Anolis sagrei: one gene and its partner. The protein of the gene in region 1 interacts with the protein of each later gene in a biochemical or structural test. Links are inferred from orthologs where the notes say so. Each region holds a gene or a part of one and is shown on either strand. Other genes may lie near its edges.

Evidence for each region.
Region 2: of the proteins of AURKA (region 1) and OTUD7B, one has a biochemical effect on the other in vitro, tested with the Homo sapiens proteins (2 studies listed by BioGRID, with this or other methods). The link is inferred for Anolis sagrei from reciprocal best matches to the Homo sapiens genes AURKA and OTUD7B.

The regions. Positions count from the first base shown.
Region 1 is NC_090024.1:226,265,942-226,276,457, forward strand, and holds the start of AURKA (aurora kinase A), read right to left. Parts: upstream 4,453-10,516; 5' UTR 4,368-4,452; exon of another isoform or gene 4,290-4,367; intron 4,260-4,289; exon of another isoform or gene 4,188-4,259; intron 336-4,187; 5' UTR 331-335; coding exon 277-330; intron 1-276. UniProt on the Homo sapiens protein: Mitotic serine/threonine kinase that contributes to the regulation of cell cycle progression.
Region 2 is NC_090032.1:5,647,977-5,658,471, forward strand, and holds the start of OTUD7B (OTU domain-containing protein 7B), read right to left. Parts: upstream 4,409-10,495; 5' UTR 4,318-4,408; intron 17-4,317; exon of another isoform or gene 1-16. UniProt on the Homo sapiens protein: Negative regulator of the non-canonical NF-kappa-B pathway that acts by mediating deubiquitination of TRAF3, an inhibitor of the NF-kappa-B pathway, thereby acting as a negative regulator of B-cell responses.

The sequences.
Region 1 (10,516 bases):
GTTTAGCATTTAAAAAACAAACAAACAGCACTCCCTTCCTTCCATCATACATGGAGAAGTGAGAATGCATAAGCCCAAGGCTGTCTCAAACCAGTGTTACAAAGGGCATTGTGTGTTATTCTACAAACTACTGTGAAAACAGCTCTGTGGATACTATATCCTGCAATCATCAATTGAAAGCATATTACGGATGAAATTTCAGTTGAAAATATTTGCTCTTATAAGCTTGCAAAACTAATACTGACACTATCTAACATCTGGAATGAAACATTTTACCTTGCTATGATGACATGGATGTCCATTCAAGTTCTCTTTACCTATTTTTTCCATTATTGCTTGAGGAAAAAGGAAGAAGTTTAGTCATTTAACATGTGTAGGATAAAATTCCCAGGTTTTTTAAATTCCAACATGACTAAAAATCTGAGATTATTTTTTAAATAATGTGAGCAAATGATTCTTAAAAAGCATGCCTTGAAAACTTAGACCATTACATTGATTACTTTCACCAGTTCATTCTGATGCCCAAACCTTCACATCAATGAAATTATTTGGACAATAAATTAGAGGTACTGTGACCTATATTTCTGAGAAGGAAACTGGAAAAAAAACACATATATGTATTCCTTGCCAAAGAAAAAATATATGAAATTCCTAATATCACCCTAAATAATAACTCTCCCCGAAAGGATGCAGGGGGCTTACATGGGGACAAGCCCAGTCAACATAATTAAACTAAAAATAACACACTAAAATACATAAACAGCATAAAACAGCAACATTATAACAAAATTGTATGAGCAAACCATCGAACCAACAACCAATGAACCTAATAATCAGTTTCTGGGCACAGGTGGGCAGAGTGGTGTAAGTCCATTTTTGAGGATAGGGCTAGTGGATAAAGTGCATAAATAGACTGGAAACTTGAAGGCACACACATATCCCACACCAGATCAGAGCAAAAAGGAGACACCAGGACATTCCAGTTCAGGTACTAATTAATAGACTTAACAGATATGTGGCAATGCCCAATAACAGTAATCCAGGAAGGAATTTTATTATGACCTAAGGGGCAGGTAGGATTTGCAGTTTAGGCCCCCATCTACAGTAATCATTTAAGGCAGGTTGAAGCCAGCAATGAAGCCTGGAGGGTAATTACACAAACCAGAGCTCTAGTGTGCATTTAAGTTTTCTTTCGAACATGTTTTTGAGTGATTTGCTGCCTGGCTGCAAAGCTAGTTTTGGATTGCAATAAATGGTCCATGGAGACAGGATCTCAGTTTTAAAGGTTATAGAAAAGCAGCTTTTTTCATGTCTGAAGTGACTTGAGAAACTGCTAGTCGCTTCCAATATGAGAGAATTGGCTGTCTGTAAAGGCGTTGCCCAGAGGATGCCCAGATGTGTTACCATCCTGTGGAAGTGTTCTCTCATTTCCCCACATGGGAAGCTGGAGCTGAAAGACAGGAGCTCATCCCGTCTCATGGATTTGAACCACCAACCTTCCCAAAGCAGCTTATCAATCAAGTATACACATATAGGTGGTTCCCAAGTTACAAACATACAACTTACAAACAACTCATAGTTAAGGACAGGAGAAAGACAACAGGAAGTTGGCCTGCATCAATAGGAACATAGTGTCTAGATCTAGGGAAGTAATGCTACCCCTCTATCCTGCTTTGGTTAGATCACACCTGGAATATTGTATCCAATTCTGGGCACCACAACTGAAGAGATATTGACAAGCTGAAATGTGTCCAGAGGAGGGCGACTAAAATGATCAAGGGTTTGGAGAACAAGCCCTATGAAGAGCAGCTTAAGGAGCTGGGCATGTTTAGCCTGAAGAAGAGAATGCTGAGAGGAGATAGGATAGCCATGTATAAATATGTGAGAGGAAGCCACAGGGAGGAGGGAGCAAGCTTGTTTTCTGCTTCCCTGGAGACTAGGATGTGAAACAATGGCTTCAAACTACAAGAAAGGAGATTCCATCTGAACATGGGGAAGAACTTCCTGACTGTGAGAGCCGTTCAGCAATGGAACTCTCTGCCCTGGAGTGTGGTGGAGGCTCCTTCTTTAGAAGCTTTTAAACAGAGGCTGAATGGCCATCTGTCAGGGGTGGTTTGAATGCAATATTCCTGCGTCTTGGCAGGGGGTTGGACTGGATGGCCCATGAGGTCTCTTCCAACTCTTTGATTCTATAATTCTAAGTGAGTAATGTATCCCTCAGAAGAGAAATTCATCCTGGAAGAGTGATTGTGGGGGAAAGATTTCTCCACTGAAGTTTTCTCACCAAGCCTTGCTTCCAGAACAAGCTTTTTTTTTTTTCAAAATCCACAGGGACAGGAAGTGAGGTGAAATCTTCTGAACAGGAGCACAAACAGCATACCAAACATCACAGGGGTATTAACCCTTCCTTATGCTATCTGAAACATCTATCTATCTAGAATTACACTTTTAAATGTACCTGTTCCAATTTACATACAAATTCAACTTAAGAATGTTGTTTGTAACTTGGTGGCTGCCTGTACCACGCACCTGAAGAATTTGCAGGTTCAGGTGTGGGGAACAATACAATGGTGCCAGATTCTCAAAAACCTAAAAAGGACTGCCTTCGTCATATATGCCTTAAACTGCCTGCTATAGAAGATTCTGCTGACCAGAAGATTCAAACCCGGCATGGGGTGAGCTCCCGGCCATCAGTCCAGCTTCTGATCACCTAGCAGTTTGAAAACAATGTAAGTAGATAAATAGGTGCTGCTTTGGCGGAGAGGTAAAAGGCGACCTGAAAAAACATGCCAGCAAAAAACTGACCAAGAAAGGCATCTATGGAAAATGAAACAACAGCACCTCTCCATGACCGAGTCAAGCACAGAGAGGAAAAGAGAGATGCCTTGCCTCTGTTTATGTATTGTCTGTCTCTGCCAATTTTACAATGGCATTGAATGTTTGCAATAGGAGTCCCCTCAGGAAGATAGAGCAGAATATGGAGTACGAGTATATCTATATATAAATGCTCTGTGCATAATGAGTACCTTAAAAACAAAAGAACCAATGAATGATATAACACCAAATTTGGCAACAAAACGTCTCACAACACAAGGAGTGACCATCACTCAAAAATTTATGATTTTGTCATTTGGGAGTTGCAGTTGCTGGGATTTATAGTTCACCTACAATCAAAGAGCATTCTGAACTCCATCAATGATGGAATTGAACCAAACTTAGTACACAGTTCTTCCATGACCAACAGAAAATACTAGAAGGGTTTGGTGGGCTGTGTCCTTTGGTTTTGGAGTTGTAGTTCACCTACATCCAGAGATCACTGTGGACTCAAACAATGATGGATCTGGACCAAACTTTACACAAATACTCAGTATGTCCAAATGTGAACGCTGGTGGATTTTGGGGAAAATAGAATCTTGACATTTGGGAGTTGTACTTGCTGGGAGTTATAGTTCACCTACAACCAAAGAGCATTCTGAACCCCACCAACAATGGAATTGAAGCAAACTTGGCACGCAGCTCTCCCATGACCAACAGAAAATACTGGAAGGGTTTGGTGGGCTGTGTCCTTTGGTTTTGGAGTTGTAGTTCACCTACATCCAGAGATCACTGTGGACTCAAACAATGATGGATCTGGACCAAACTCTACACAAATACTCAGTATGTCCAAATGTGAACGCTGGTGGAGTTTGGGGAAAATAGAATCTTGACATTTGGGAGTTGTACTTGCTGGGATTTATAGTTCGCCTACAATCAGAGCATTCTGAACCCCACCAACGATAGAATTGGGCGAAACCTCCCACACAGAACCCCCATGTGGGCCACAGCAACGCGTGGCAGGGGACGGCTAGTTATTATTATTATTATTCACATTGGCCTATGATGATGAACCATTGACACATACTGGCTGTTAGGAATTGTGGGAGTTGCAATCCCAAACACCTGAAGGGCCAAAGTTTGTACATGCCTGCTCTATAATGTAGAATCCTGGGATTTGTAGGCTTTATTCTTCTCTTTGGCAGAAGATAATGACCTTTTCAAACTACAACTCCCAGGACTCTCCAGCATAGTTGAAACAGTCTCAAACTGCATTATCCATGCAGTGTGTTGCTTCTCCAGTCTCTATCCAGGGCATGGGAAAGGCAAATTTAGACTAGAACTCCCACCCTCCCCGCTCACTGTATGCTCACCAACTTCCTGCGGTGGTTGCTCCTAAAGGCTTGTTCTTTATGCTTCAAACCCTCTCCCCACAAAAAAAAATGTTCCCAAAAAAGCTTAGAGAAGATAGATACCACGCAAGAGAGCCCCTGAGTAGAAGCTTCCAGGTTAAAACGCTGTGGAAGACTCCCGAGAAGGCCCACTCACCTCCACTCCACACCACTCTGCACTTCCGACGAGCGTTTGAATTCAAACCTCCGCCCGCCTCCTTCAACGCCCTTTAAACCATTCCCGCGCTACGATTGGTCAATCATCTCCCTTTCCTGCTCCGGCGTCCGCTCGCTGATTGGCTGCCTCCGCGTCAGGGCCCGCCCCCTTCCTCCGGTTCCAACTGTCTCAGCTGAAAAGAAACGGGGCCAGCTTCTTTTCTTCCAAGGGTCAGCTCTACTACGCATGCGTCCAACACGACAAGCAAAAAAAAAAAAAAGATAAAGGGGGATTTGAATTGGAAGGGGGCGTGGTCTGTGGAACCTTCCCCAACGCTTCACTTCCTGGTTGTTAAGCTTAACGCTTGAGTTTTTTCTGGCGCGTGCGCTCCTTACGCCGTTTGCGCAACGCTGCCCCCACTGGTTACCGTTTACTCTTCCGCCAGTTGCGCTTCGCTTCGCCTCGCCACGCCCCCTTCGCTCAGTGTTGGGAAGGAGAGAGTTGCTCTTCTCCGTTTGAAATGAGATCTTGGTGGTATCATCAATCCAAACCCATCGCCTGCCTCAAATGTTTAAATACTAAGTTTGTAGCCCAAACTTATATGGAATGGATGTTGTGCTGTGTTATAGAAGGATAATGGAAGGCCACAAGCAACTGTTTTGTACTCTTCAGCTTTGAAGCCACTTGTGGAAGGAAGAGGCCTAATCAGGACTTTGAAAGACTTGACACATTTAGATTGATCAGAAAGTCACAAAAAGGGTCACACTTGCCAGGATTTGTGACTTAACACTTTTTCCAAAGCGACTACTGACAATCAGGAAGTTTCAGCATTTATGGGAAGACGATATAGTGCTCTTGTATGGTTTTTTTAATTCAAAAAATGCCGTATTCTCGCTCACAACTGCATATCTTAAGAGTCAACCCTTCTTTTCTTACCCATTGAGTACAAGACCTGTCAAGAAGAGGATTTCACTCACATTTTGTGAGAGTCATGTCTCGTGTGGTTGTTTTGGCAATTATGGGGTAAGAAGCACTTGAGAGACTCTTCCATTAACAACAACTGATACAAAAGCCGGTTAGGATTTTCCACAAAGAGCAGTTATATCGTACCATTTCAGGCTAGAAGCCAGTCAATTGCATCACAACACAACCAGTGAAAGAAGCACTGTGAACTTCAGAAGAAGCCCATTTCCCTGCCTGTGGGTTTTGTAGGCTGTTCTTATGGGGTAAGAAACACCTGAGGGACTCTTCCATTAACAACAACTGATGAAAATATACAAAAGCCGGTTAGGATTTTCCACAAAGAGCAGTTATATCGTACCATTTCAGGCTAGAAGCCAGTCAATTGCATCTCAACACAAACAACCACTGAAAGAAGCACCGTGAACTTCAGAAGAAGCCCATTTCCCTGCCTGTGTGTTTTGTAATCTGTATGAGACTGACTTTGGAGAAATAGACGTAAAATCGATATGTGCTTTTAAAGAAGATGGTTTCCATTTGACTGGGTTCCTGCAGTCCCCGAGGAAAGGTTTAAACATGGATAATGTGAAGAAGGTATAATAAGGACGGTAGTTTGCTCAATCTATGAGGAAGGATGTCAAATCGGCGTATCACTCCCGCATGTGACAGGCACCAGCTTCCATGGGGCATGAGCAGCAATGAACAGTGGCCAATGCGGCTACCATTTCTTGAGGCCGATGTGAGTATAAAGCTATGCCTTTGGATTCAGCATGAGAAGTAATGGAGGTGTCAGGGGAAAAAAAGCTTGATGCCAGAACTATGATCAGGTGAAAAGCTTTTCTAGTTTAGCCGTTTCCACAGTGATGAACTAGCTACCTCTGAAAAGGCCCCACAGGATAATATGGCTCCACCTGCACTGATCATTTAATACAGTTCAAAACTAGTTTCAAATGGTGGCAACCAGGTAATAGGCTTCCACAAAAGCACTCCAAAAAAGTCCTGTAATGCATACCAGTGCTATGTGGTCTATGTAATTACCATCCAGGCCACAAACCGGATTTCCTGTGTGTCTGCACAGTGAAACCACATTCTTCAATAACGGTTTTAGACTGCATTAAATGGTCAGTTGAGACGTGCTCTATATCTCCCTTTTCTCTCTTGTCTATGGAAAGCCCACAAACAGAAGGGAGAGGCGGATGAGCTCCTTCTATCAGCTCCAGCTCCTCATGCGGGGACATGAGAGAAGCCTCCCACAAGGATGATAAAAACATCAAATCATCCAGGCGTCCTCTGGGCAACGTTCTTGCAGACAGCCAATTCTCTCACACCAGAAGTGACTTGCAGTTCCTCAAGTCGCTCCTGACACAACAACAACAAAGAAGAAGAATAGCACTCCTACAACTGGTTTTGAAAACCATCCTGGAAGCAATGCATGCTATAGTCATCATAACAAGATGCCATTAGTACTCTTAATAGTCTGCTTTAAGCACCTTTTTCATTATTTTTCAAATAATGCTGATTTGTTGCTTTTTTTTTTAACAGAACAAACACACTCACTCTCCTGCAACTGGTGTTGAAATCCAGTTATCATAACAAGAAGCCACTGTATAATCCAATACAGGTAGTCCCTAAGTTATGAACAAGACAGGTTTTATAGGTTCTGATAATTGGATTTTGAAATATTTGGTTTGTGGAAACAAGGATTGGTAATAAAGCTTTCAATAGGGTAAAACAGTCCCCTCCCTGCCATCTTTCAAAAAGCAGCTAAAGGCCTTTCTGTTCGCACAAGCTTTTAATGAAAACTTACTTGGAATGGCAGGAAGGCTAACTCTTAGTAAGTCATGCTAAGTTTACTGTCTCTTGTTGAGTTTCACACAATAATTGCATTTGATGTTTTAAAGTATATTTATTCCCTATTGTAAATTTGGTTTTATAGGTTATTGTTTTACATATGTATGTTGATTTGTATTGTTTTTATAATGTTGTCAGCCGCTTTGGGTTCCGTTCAGGGAGAAAAGTGGGATATAAATAAAGAGTTATTATTATTATTATTATTATAAAAATCTTTCTGGACCGAATTTCCCTTCCAAGAAGTAGATTTCTCTCACTTCCTGTTGTCTCACCCCTGTTCTTAGCTATGAATAATTTGTAAGTTGAGTGCTTATAAACCAGGGACTGTGTGTTTTAAGTGTTGGCCTTGTATTTTGTAATATGTATTTTAAGTGTTACGTCTGTTTTAATGATGTTGTATCCTTGTCTTGTCAAAGGCTTTCATGGCCAGAATAACTGGATTTCTATGAGTTTATTGGTCTGTATGGTCATGTTCCAGCAGCATTCTCTCCTAACGTTTCACCTGAATCTGTGGCTGGCATCTTCAGAGGTTCTGTTGGCAATGAAGTGAGTGGAGTGTACCTGTGTATATACACTCCATTTGCTTCTCTGCCAACAGAACCACTGAAGATGCCAGCCACAGATTCTAGCTAGGAGAGAATGCTGTTGGAACATGCCCCCAAAGCCCAAAACAAACCTCACAGCAATGTTTTATCTTGCCCCATTCTGCAAGGAGAGGTTGGTAACAAATATGATTATGATGCACCGTATCCACCACATAGTAATTGAATTTTTTCCATTATATAGGCAGCAGTCCTTTCCATATTTATTTAGGACTAACCATCCCCTGCAACACATTGCTGTGGCCCACATGGGGGTTCTGTGTGGGAGGTTGGGCCCAATTCTATTGTTGGTGGGGTTGAGAATGCTCTGTGATTGTAGGTGAACTATAAATCCCAGCAACTGCAATTCCCAAATGTCAAGATTCTATTTTCCCCAAACTCCACCTGTGTTCACATTTGGGCATTTGGTGTCAATTCGTCAAGTGGTTTTTGAGTTCTGTTAATCCCACAAACGAACATTACATTTTTATTTAATAGATTGGAGGCCCCATGGGAATGGCAGACTCTGAATATAATTTATTTTATATTCTACTCTCTTGAGCTCCAGAGCACGTTATGGGGAGCCAGTGTAGTGCACTGCTAAGAAATATTGTATTGGGACTTGGGAGTTTCAGTTCCACTAAATTCTAAAACAAGCACTGTCACCTTCGGCCACTCAGTCCTTTTCTCCCAACCAGATCTATCTCACAGTGTTGCTGTTAGTATAAAGTGGGAAGAAGAGCAGCTATGTATGTTGCCTTTAACTTATTGGAGGAAAAGCAGGATATAAACAACTATAGACTTTCATAAAGCACAAGCTTGGCCATGTACTTCTTGTTGTTTAGAAGGACTAAATATATTCATGTGTGGGAAACTGTTTCAGGACTTTTGTTTTTAGCCCTAAAGCTGAAAAACTGTACCCTACCCAGAAGACCTTATTTTCAGGCTCAGGATTCTCTGCATCCATGTTCCTACAGTCTGTTTATTGATGAGTAAAGCAGCAGCCTTTACAACAGTGGTTCTCAGCCTGTGAGTCCTCAGATATTTTGGCCTTCAACACCCAGAAATCCTACCAGCTGGTAAAGTGATTTCTGAGAGTTGTAGGCCAAAACACCTGGGACCCACAGGTTGAAAACCACTGCTTTACAAGATCTTGATGTTTGAGTGACAGTAAAATTGTGGGTTGGGATTAGTGATACTTCTAGTACTTCCTTTCATTGTGTGTTTGTGCATTGCACAAATATAGGTTGAGAATCCCATATCCCAAGATGCATTGGACTCTTAAGTGTCTTGGATTTTTCTGGATTTAACATATATGTTCATAATGAGGTATTTTGGAAGTGGGACCCAACTGGAAACGTGAAATTTGTGTGTGTGTCATATACTTGCCTTGTTTCCCACAAAACTCACGACCTCTGGGGATGCCTGCTATAGATGTGAGTGAAATGTCAGGAGAGAATGTTTCTGGAACATGGTCAGACAGCCCGGAAAATTCACAGCAACCCAATGCTGGAAATCTATGTGTAACATGACAGACCCACATGCCTATTATACAGCTTTTAAAGGAGTGGTGGTGGCATGCACTCAGCATGTTCTCTGGAGTCCCCTTCTGACGTAGAAAGGTGAGGAAGGGGACTCCAGAGAATGTGCAGAGTGCATGCCCCTTCAGTTGCAATGCCACACACTACATGTGCTATTGGTCCACCTTAAATTCCATGGCAACGTTATAAAGCAGGGGTCCTCAAACTAAGGCCCGGGGGCCAGATACGGCCCTCCAAGGTCATTTACCTGGCCCTTGCTTGTTCGACCTAAGTTTGAAACAACTTGAAAGCACACAACAACAATCCTATTTCATCAGCCAAAAGCAGGCCCACATTTCCCATTGACATACTAATAAGTTTATATTTGTTTAAATTGTTATTCATTTTAATTATTGTATTGTTTTAATGTGTTTTTTGCACTACAAATTCATGTTTTCTTCAAATTATAATCCGGCCCTCCAACCGTTTGAGGGACTGCGATCTGGCCCTCTGTTTAAAATGTTTGAGGACCCCTGTTATAAAGTATTCTGGGATTTACAGTTGGGAGTGCATTTAGAATCCTCCACCATAGAGCTCTGGGACCCCACTAAACTACAAACCACAAAACCCCACAGGATTATTATTTTTTTGTCGTGTCAGGAGCGACCTGAGAAACTGCAAGTCGCTTCTGGTGTGAGAGAATTGGCCGTCTGCAAGGACGTTACACAGGGGACGCCTGGATGATTTGATGTTTTATCATCCTTGTGGGAGGCTTCTCTCATGTCCCCGCATTAGGAGCTGGAGCTGATAGAGGGAGCTCATCCGCCTCTCCCTGGATTCGAACCAGTCCTGCCGGCACAGGGGTTTAACCCACTGTGCCACCAGGGACACCCCACAGGATGTCACCATGGCATTTAAAGTGGAACGTGATTCCTAAGCTGAGGTGCTTTTGGACTTCAACTCCCAGAACCCCTAGCTGTTGGGTCATACTGACCGAGGCTTCTGGGAGCTGAAGTCCGAAACTGCAGGAGAGCCCAAGTTTGTAATTGGATGCATCAGGGTACATCTACAGTACACTGTACAACGAATGGGGCTTTGACACCATTTCAGGTGCAATGTCTCAGTGGTATGGAATCCTGGGAGTTGTAGTTTGTCTGCCAAAGAGTGCGACTGCCTCTCCAAAGAACAACTCCCAGGCATTGAGTTACGGCAATTAAAAGTAGTGCCAAACTGCATTCATCC
Region 2 (10,495 bases), on another chromosome or scaffold:
CCCGGAGGCGTTTCCGAACAGGACGACGCCGCCTCTTCCCCTCAGAAGAGGCGGACCAATCAGCGCTGGCGGACAACAAGCCACGCCCACAAAGGGGCGGGGACTCGCTCTTTTCGCCAAAGCCACGCCCCCTGCTCGAATGCCTGGGAAGGGAAGGCAGAGCGGGCCAATCTGGCGGACATCAAGCCACGCCCCTCAGAAAGGCTGGACCAATCAGCGCTGGCAGAAAACAAGCCACGCCTACAAAGGGCGGGGAGTCGCTCTTTTCGCCAAAGCCACGCCCCCTGCTCGAATGCTTGGGAAGGGAAGGCAGAGCGGGCCAATCAGAGCTGGCGGAAAGCAAGCCACGCCCACAAAGGGGCGGTGCTTCGCTCTTTTCGCTTAAATGCCTAGGAAGGGAAGGCAGAGCGGGCCAATCAGCGCTGGCGAGTGACAAGCCACGCCCACTAAGGGGCGGTCCTTCGCTCTTTTCGCCAAAACCACGCCCCTGCTCGAATGCTTGGGAAGGGAAGGAAGAGCGGGCCAATCAGCGCTGGCGGATAACAAGCCACGCCCACGAAGGGGCGGTGCTTCGCTCTTTTCGCTCAAATGCCTGGGAAGGGAAGGCAGAGCGGGCCAATCAGCGCTGGCGGGCAGCAAGCCACGCCCAGTAAGGGGCGGCGCTTCGTTCTTTTCGCCAAAGCCACGCCCCCTGCTCGAATGCTTGGGAAGGGAAAGGCAGAGCGGGCCAATCAGCGCTGGCGGGCAGCAAGCCACGCCCATAAAGGGGCGGTGCTTCGTTCTTTTCGCTCAAATGCCTGGGAAGGGAAGACAGTGCGGGCCAATCAGCGCTGGCGGGCAGCAAGCCACGCCCACTAAGGGGCGGGGATTCGCTCCTTTCCCCAAAGCCACGCCTCCTGCTCAAATGCTTGGGAAGGGAAGGCAGGAAGGAACAAAGCACGCCCATTCTAGGGAGGGAAATGGTTTTGGAAGAAAGGGGGGGATGGATAATAGATAAAAGGACCATAAGGAATAATGTGAAGTCAACATTAAAAGGGGGGGAAAGTGCAATCAAGGTCAAGAAAGGGCAATGCAAAGATTAGGTAGGAAAAGATCAATAAAGGGAAAAGTGCAACAAGAATGAAAGTGTGGAACCAGGAAATAAGGGAAAGGGAAATAAGGATGAAGTGGAAGCAAAGTAATGAGCAAAGTAAAGAGAAGGTGCAAAAAGAATAAAGTATGACAAAGTGCAATAAAAGTAAAGAAAAAGTGCAACAATAAAGTACAAGTAATAAAATCATGCAATAAAAGTAAATAAAAAGTGCAATAAAAGTAGAGAAAATATGCAAGAAGAATAAAGTAAGACACAAGGAGAAAGTGCAATAAAAGTAAAGAGAAAGTGCAATAAGAATAAAGTACAAAACAAGGAAAGAAAAAGTGCAAAAAAGTAAAGAAAATGCAATAAAAGTAGAGAAAATATGTAATAAGAATAAAGTACTACACAAAAAGTACAAAAAAGTAAATAAAAAGTGCAATAAAAGTAGAGAAAATATGCAATAAGAAGAAAGTACAACACAGAAAAAGTGCAATAAAAGTAAAGAAAAAGTCCAACAATAAAGTACGGCACAAGTAATGAAATCATTCAATAAAAGTAAAGAAAAAGTGCAATAAAAGTTAAAGAGAAGGGACAAGAAGAATAAAGTACAACACAAGGAAAGGAAAAGGGCAATAAAAGTAAAGGAAAGTGCAATAAAAGTAGAGAAAATATGCAAGAAGAATAAAGTAAGACACAAGGAAAGAAAAAGGGCAATAAAAGTGAGGAAAAAGTACAATAAAAGTAAAGAAAAAGTGAAACAATAAAGTACAACACAAGTAATGAAATCATGCAATAAAAGTAAATAAAAGTGAAATAAAAGTAAAGAGAAGGTGCAAGAAGAATAAAGTACAATACAAGGAAAGAAAAATTGCAATAAAAGTAGAGAACATGTGCAATAAGAAGAAAGTACAACACAAGGAAAGAAAAAGTGCAATAAAAGTAAATAAAAATTGCAATAAAAGTAGAGAAAAAGTGCAATAATAAAGTACAAGGAAAGAAAAAGTGCAAAAAGTAAATAAGTGCAATAAAAGTAGAGAAAATATGCAAGAAGAATAAAGTACGACACAAGGAAAGAAAAAGGGCAATAAAAGTAAAGAAAGGTGCAAGAATAAAGTAAAAATAATGAAATCATGCAATAAAAGTAAAGAAAAAGTGCAATAAAAGTAAAAAGTGCAATAAATAAAGTACAACACAAGTAATGAAATCATGCAATAAAAGTAAAAAAGTGCAATAAAAGTAGAGAAAACATGCAATAAGAATAAAGTATAACACAAGGAAAGAAAAATTGCAATAAAAGTAAAGAAAAAGTGCAATAAAAGTAAAGAAAAGTGAAATAAAAGTAGAGAAAATATGCAATAAGAATTAAGTACAACACAAGGAAAGAAAAAGTGCAATAAAAGTTTAAAAAGTGCAACAATAAAGTACAAATAATGAAATCATGCAATAAAAGTAAAGAAAAAGTGCAATAAGAATATAAAGTACAAAAAAAGTAACAAAAAGTGCAATAAAGGTAAAGAAAAAGTGCTACAATAAAGTAAAAGTAGTGAAATCATGTAATAAAAGTAAATTAAAAGTGCAATAAAAGTAGAGAAAAGTGCAATAAAAGTAGTGAAAATATGCAAGAAGAATAAAGTAAGACACAAGGAAAGGAAAAGTATAATGAAAGTAAATAAAAGTGCAACAATAAAGTACAAATAATGAAATGCATTAAAATAAAAAAGTGCAATAAAATAAAAAGTGCAATAAAAATAGAGAAAATATGCAAGAAGAATAAAGTATGACACAAGGAAAGGAAAAGGGCAATAAAAGTAAAGAAAAAGTGCAATAAAAGTAGAGAAAATATGTGATAAGAATAAAGTACAACACAAGGAAAGAAAAAGTGCAAAAAAGTAGAGAAAAGTGCAATAAAAGTGATGAAAATGTGTAATAAGAATAAAGTACAACACAAGGAAAGGAAATGAGCAATAAAAGTGATGAAAAGTAAAATAATAAAGTATAGCACAAGTAAAGAAAAAGTGTTACAAAAGTAAAGAAAAAGTGCAATGAAAATAAAGAAAATGTGCAATAAAAGTGATGAAAAAGTGCAATAATAAAGTACAACACTAGTAAATAAGTACAATAAATGTAAAGAAACAGTGCAATAAAAGTGATGAAAATGTGCAAAAATAAAGTACAACAAGGAAAGAAAAAATAATGAAAGTGCAATAACAGTAAAAAGTGCAATAAGAGTAAAATGTATAATAAGAATAAAGTACAACACAAGTCTAAAAAGTGCAATAAAAGTTTTTAAAATGCAAGAAAAGAAAAGAAAATGTGAAATAAGAATAAAGTACAACACAAGTAAAGGAAAAATGAAATAAAAGTTTAAAAGTGAAATAAAAATAAAGAAAAAGTACAATAAGAATAAAGTACAACACGTAACAAAAAGTGCAATAAAAGTAAAGAAAAAGTGCAAGGAAAGTAATGTAAAGTGCAATAAAGTACAACACAAGTAAATAAAGTGCAATAAAAGTAAAGTGAAATAAAAGTAAAGGAAAGTTCAATAAGAATAAAGTACAACACAACAAAAAAACTGCAATAAAAGTAAAGAAAAAGTGCAATAAAAGTAAAAACAAGTGGAATAAAAGTAAAGAAAATGCAATAAGAATAAAGTATAACACAAGTAAGGAAAAAGTGCAATAAAAGTAAAAAAAGTGCAATAAAAGTAAAGAAAATGTATAATAAGAATAAAGTACAACACAAGTAAAAAGTGAAATAAATGTTTATAAAAGTTGCAATAAGTATAAAGTGCATTAAAAGTAAAGAAAAGTGCAATAAGAATGAAGAACAATAAGAATAAAGTGCAATAAAACTATAGGAAAAGTGCAATAAGTATAAAGTGCAATAAAAGTAAAGAAAAAGTACAATAAGAATAAAGTGAATTAAGAACAAAGAAAAAGTGCAATAAATGTAAAGGAAAAATTGCAATAAGAATAAAGAAAAAGTGCAATAAGAGGATGCGAAATGTGCAATAAGTATAAGATGCAATAAAAGTAAAGAAAAAGAACAAAAAATGAAGAGTGGAAAAAGAATAAAGATAAGGAAATAACTTGTATGGCTTCAGTCCATACCTTGATGACACAAGTTTACTATATACATAGATGTAGTGTATACACGATAATATTTGGACTACTGTTGCAGTGTCGGATTGCATTTATTTGACAGTGTGAATCTATGCAACATGGGGTGCAATAAAGACTTACTTTCCTTCTCGAGATCCTTGATGTTGATGTTGTGTTGCATCTGTGGGGGGCCACCTTGCTCGATCCCTGGTCGATCCCACAGAGTTCCGTTATCGGAGTAATAATAAGAGAAGGAGGAATAGGAAGAGATGGAGGAGGAGGAAATGATGAAGAAGGTGGAAGAAGGAGAAGAAAAGGAAGAAGATGAAAGAGGAGATGGAAGATGAGGAAGAAGAAGGAGGAAGAAGGAGGAGATGGAAGTGGAGGATGACAAAGAAGATGATGGAGAAGGAGAGGAAGGAGAAAATGATGATGGAGGAGGAGGAAGGAGAAGATGAAAGAGAAGGTGGAAGAAGATGGAGGGATAGGAGAAAATGAAGGAGGAGAAAGAAGGAGAAGAAGGTGGTGGACAAGGAAGAAGAAGATGGAGGAGGAGGAGAAAGAGAAGATGAAGATGGGGAAAAGGAAGAAGATAAAAGATGAGGAGGAAGAAGAAGATGGAAGGAGGAGAAGAAGGAGAAGATGGGGAAAAGAAGAAGGAGAAAAGGAAGAAGAGGAAAGAAGAGGTGGAAGAAGATGGAGAGATAGGAGAAGATGAAGGAGGAGAAAGGAGGAGTAGAAGGTGGTGGTGGAGGTGGAAGAAGATGGAGAGATAGGAGAAGATGAAGGAGGAGAAAGAAGGAGAAGAAGGTGGTGGTGGAGGTGGAAGAAGATGGAGGAGGATAGGAAGAAGACGATGGAGAAAAGAAAGAAAATAAAAGAGGAAGAGAAGGGAAGGAGTTGAGGAAGGAGAAGATGGGGAAAAGGAGGAGGAGGAAGACAGAGGAGAAGGAGAAGAAAAGGAAGACGAAGAAGAAAGATGAGGTGGAAGAAAATGGAGAGGAAGGAGAAGATGAGGAAGAGGAATAGGAAGAGATAGAAGATGAAGAAAGAGGAGGAAAGGATTTTGAAGGAGAAGAAGGTGAAGGAAAGAGAAGGAGATGGAGGAGAAAGAAAAAGAAGAAATGGAGAGGGAAGATGAAGTAGAAGACAATGGAGGAGAGGAATGAGAAGATGAAGAAGGGGAAGGAGGAAGAAAAACAAAAGGAAGAAAATGAGAAATAGATGAAAAAAGGAGGTAGAAGGAGAGGGAGATGATGAAGGTGGAGGGAAAAGAAGATGGAAGAGAAGGAGAGGCAAGAGGAGGAAAAGAGGATGAGGGGAGAAGAAGGAAAAGAGACGGAAGAAGAGGAAGAAGAGGAAGGCTGGAAACGATGGAGGAGGAGGAAAAAGAAGATGGAAGAGAAGGAGAGGCAAGAGGAGGAAAAGAGGATGAGGGGAGAAGAAAGAAAAGAGATGGAAGAAGAGGAAGGCTGGAAAAGAATGGATACAAAGAAGATGGAGATGATGATGAAGAAGGAGGAGAGGAAAGAAGAGAAGAAGGAGAGGAGGGAGAAGATTAAGAAAAAATAGTCCTCATCATGGATGGTCAGGCTGAGGTGAGAAGATGGCCTTCATCTTCTTCATCTTCTTCTCCGGGGCTCGGTTTTCCAGCCAAAGCAATGGCCGCAGAAGCCAAACATCACAAGAGGAGAAGTGGGCTTCTCCTCCGTGGGCAGCTCTCTTCGTCGCAAGGGACGGAGTGCTTGGCATTCTCTCTGCCGTGGGATGCTCGAGGCATCGGCAGGAGAAGCATGTGGAAAATGTGCCGGGGTCAGCGTGTGTGTGGCCTTTGGTCATTCATCCTCTGGAGGGAAGAAAACAGAGGCAAAAAATGCCAGTGGTGGACTCAGGTGTTGTTGTATTCAACCAATGGCCTGGACATTATTATTATTATTATTATTATTATTATTATTGGAAACACAACAAGATGAGTCCACAGCAGACACTGTGCTGGCTGTTGTATTGGATCACACGTCGGACACTTCCCAAGTGCCTAGGACTGTGTGATGTATTTATTATTATTATTATTATTATTATTATTATTATTATTATTATTATTATTATTTGAAACACAACAAGATGAGTCCACAGCAGACACTCTTCTGGCTGTTGTATTGGATCACACGTCGGACACTTCCCAAGTGCCTAGGACTGTGTGATGTGTCGGCAAATAATGCGTGCAGATCCCAGTAAGATAGCAGATGGTAATTTTGTCAGAGCCGATTGTGTTTAAGTGCAGGCCAAGGTCTTGAGACACTGCACCCAGTGTGCCGATCACCACTGGGACCCCATTGACTGGCTTGTGCCAGAGTTTTGGCAGTTCGATCATTATTGTTGTTGTTATTATGTTTATGTTTATGTTTATTTATACCCTGCTTTTCCTCTCCACAAGGAGACACATGTCGACACCATTGCATGAATGCAGTCTGATGCCACTTTCACCGCCAAAGCTTCAAGCTATCAGGATGTGAGTTGTAGTTTGCGGAGGCCCCCCGCACTCTTTGGCCAAGGGGAGCATGTGAAACTATAATCTATCTATCTATCTTTCTATCCATCCATCTCTCTCTTTCTCCATCTATCTATCCATCTATCTATCATCTATCTATCTATCTATCTATCTATCTATCTATCTATCTATCTATCTATCTATCCCTCTCTCTCTCTCTCTCTCTTTCTCTTGATCTCTATCCATCTATCTATCCACCCATCAATCTCTATCTATCTATCTATCTATCTATCTATCTATCTATCTATCTATCTATCCCTCTCTCTCTCTCTCTCTCTCTCTTTCTCTTGATCTCTATCCATCTATCTATCCACCCATCAATCTCTATCTATCTATCTATCTATCTATCTATCTATCTATCTATCTATCTATCTATCCCTCTCTCTCTCTCTCTCTCTCTCTCTCTCTTTCTCTTGATCTCTATCCATCTATCTATCCACCCATCAATCTCTATCTATCTATCTATCTATCTATCTATCTATCTATCTATCTATCTATCCCTCTCTCTCTCTCTCTCTCTCTCTTTCTCTTGATCTCTATCCATCTATCTATCCACCCATCAATCTCTATCTATCTATCTATCTATCTATCTATCCCTCTCTCTCTCTCTCTCTTTCTCTTGATCTCTATCCATCTATCTATCCACCCATCAATCTCTATCTATCTATCTATCTATCTATCTATCTATCTATCTATCTAACCCTCTCTCTCTCTCTCTCTCTCTCTTTCTCTTGATCTCTATCCATCTATCTATCCACCCATCAATCTCTATCTATCTATCTATCTATCTATCTATCTATCTATCTATCTATCTACCTACCCATCCATCCATCTCTCTCTCTATCTATCTCCATCTTTCTCTCAATCTCTATCTATCTCTCTCTCTCTCCCGCTATCATCCATCTATCCATCCATCCATCCATCCATCCATCTATCCACACATCTATCTATCTATCTATCTATCTATCTATCTATCTATCTATCTAGCCATCCATCCATCCATCCATCTATCCATCTCAATCTATCTGTCTGTCTGTCTGTCTGTCTTGTCTGTCTGTCGGTCGATCGATCTATCGATCTATCGATCTATGTATCCATCCATTTCTTTTTCTCTCCCTAACTATTTATCTATCTATTTCTATATCTCTCTATCTAGTCATCTATCTATCTATCTATCTATCTATCTATCTATCCATCCATCTCTCTATCTCTCTGGGGAAGAAGATGCAGAGGAAGAATAGGGCTTCACAGCCACATACGGACCCACAAGGAAATCCATAGCGGAAGACCATCTTACTCGTCCAACGAGGGATCGCCTAAGTAAGTAAGTATCTATCTATTTATCTATCTATCTAGCCATCCATCCATCTAAATAACTTCCAGGACTCTAGCATTGTGCTGGAACAGCTGAAGTGGTTTCAAACAGCATCAATCTATAGTGGAGACACACCATGAGTTTTGGGTAGCAACCTTTGGCCATCCTGAGCACACTGCTTTCACCAAAACGTAAAATGATAGAATCCTAGAGTCAGAAGGGACCCTCCAAAGGCCATCTAGTCCCACCCGATTCTGCCAGGCAGGAAGACACCATCCAAGCTCTCCCGACAGATAACCATCCAGACTCTGAATCATAGAATCTTAGCGTTGGAAGGGACCCTGAGGACCATCCTATTCTAAAGGACCCCAAAGGCCATCCAGTCCAACCTAATTCAGCCAGGCAGGATGTCACGTTCCAATCCCTCCCGACAGATGGCCATTCAGCCTCCAAAGAAGAAGATTCCATCATCATGAATATTATCAAAAATGACAACAATGATGATTGCGAGGATGGAATCCTAGAGTTGGATCCTAGAGTCCAACCCTTTCTGCACATCAGGGAGGCACAATCCAATCCCTCCCGACAGATGGCCATTCGGCCTCCAAAGAAGACGACTCCATCATCATGAATATGATCAGAAATGACAAACATGATGATTACGAGGATGGAATCCTAGAGTTGGATCCTAGAGTCCAACCCTTTCTGCCAATCAGGGAGGCACAATCCAATCCCTCCCGACAGATGGCCATTCGGCCTCCAAAGAAGAAGACGCCATCATCATGAATATGATCAAAAATGACAACCATGATGATTACGAGGATGGAATCCTAGAGTTGGATCCTAGAGTCCAACCCTTTCTGCACATCAGGGAGGCACAATCCGACCCCTCCCGACAGATGGCCAGCCATCCTCTGCTTGAGAAGGAGATTCCACCAGACTCCAAGGCAACATATTCTCCCAGATCTGAATGGGCATCGACGCGAAGGCTCGTGTGTGTCTGTGTGTCCGTCCAAGCGGTCATGCGGACACCCCGGCTGACCCGAACGGTTGAATCGTCCCCTTTGTCTTCCCCCGTCTCCCCCTCCCGGCTGTTGTTGATGTCCGAGACAAAAAAAGCCGTGTTTATCATCCTTTCTGGGGACACAACAGAAGAGTCCAGCAAAGAAAGGAACTTCTGTGCCGTGCCAGCTTCCCCAAAGGGACCCGGCCCGGTGTTGTTTTCTTGGCCATTGAAAACAAGCGGGCAGGGAGCGGGAGGAAAGGACGGAAAAGGCCCCGCTTTGGCCTGGTTTCCAAAGTTTGTGCAGAGAGACAGCACTGGCTTTGGAAGCAACTCTTGTGTCTGTTGGAAGGGCATCCAGTCCAACAGGAGACACAACCAAAGCCCTCCCGACAGATGGCCATCCAGTCTCTGCTGGAAAATCTCCAAAGAAGGAGACCCGGGAAGACACCATCAAAGCCCTCTTGACAGATGGCCATCCAGATTTATAAAATCCTAGAGTCGGAAGATAACTCCAAGGGCCGTCCAGTCCAACGCCCTTCTGAAACCGTCAAAGCCCTCTCGACAGATGGCCATACAGCCTTATAGAATTTTCAAGTTCGAAGGGAACAACAAGGACCATCCAGTCCACCCTCCTTCCAACACCGTCAAAGCCCTCTCGACAGATGGCCATCCAGATTTATACAATCGTAGAGTCGGAAGATAACTCCAAGGGCCGTCCAGTCCAACCCCCTTCTGACACCGTCAAAGCCCTCTCGACAGATGGCCATACAGCCTTATAGAATCCTGGAGTTAGAAGATAACTCCAAGGGCCATCCAATTCAAGCTCCTTCCAACACCGTCAAAGCCCTCTCAACAGATGGTCATACAGCTGTATAGAATCCTAGAGTTGGAAGATAACTCCAAGGGCCATCCAGTCCAACCCCCTTCTGAGACCGTCAAAGCCCTCTCGACAGATGGCCATACAGATTTATACAATCCTAGAGTCGGAAGATAACTCCAAGGGCCATCCAGTCCAGCCTCCTTCTGACACCGTCAAAGCCCTCTCTACAGATGGCCATCCAAAATTATAGAATCCTAAAGTTGGAAGATAACTCCAAGGGCTGTCCAGTCCAACAGGAGACACAACCAAAGCCCTCCTGACAGATGGCCATCCAGTCTCTGCTGGAAAATCTCCAAAGAAGGAGACTCAGGAAGACAACATCAAAGCCCTCTCGACAGATGGCCATCCAGATTTATACAATCCTAGAGTCGGAAGATAACTCCAAGGGCCGTACAGTCCAGCCCCCTTCTGACACCGTCAAAGCCCTCTCGACAGATGGCCATCCAGATTTATACAATCCTAGAGTCGGAGGATAACTCCAAGGGCCATCCAGTCCAACAGGAGACACAACCAAAGCCCTCCTGACAGATGGCCATCCAGTCTCTGCTGGAAAACCTCCAAAAGAAGGAG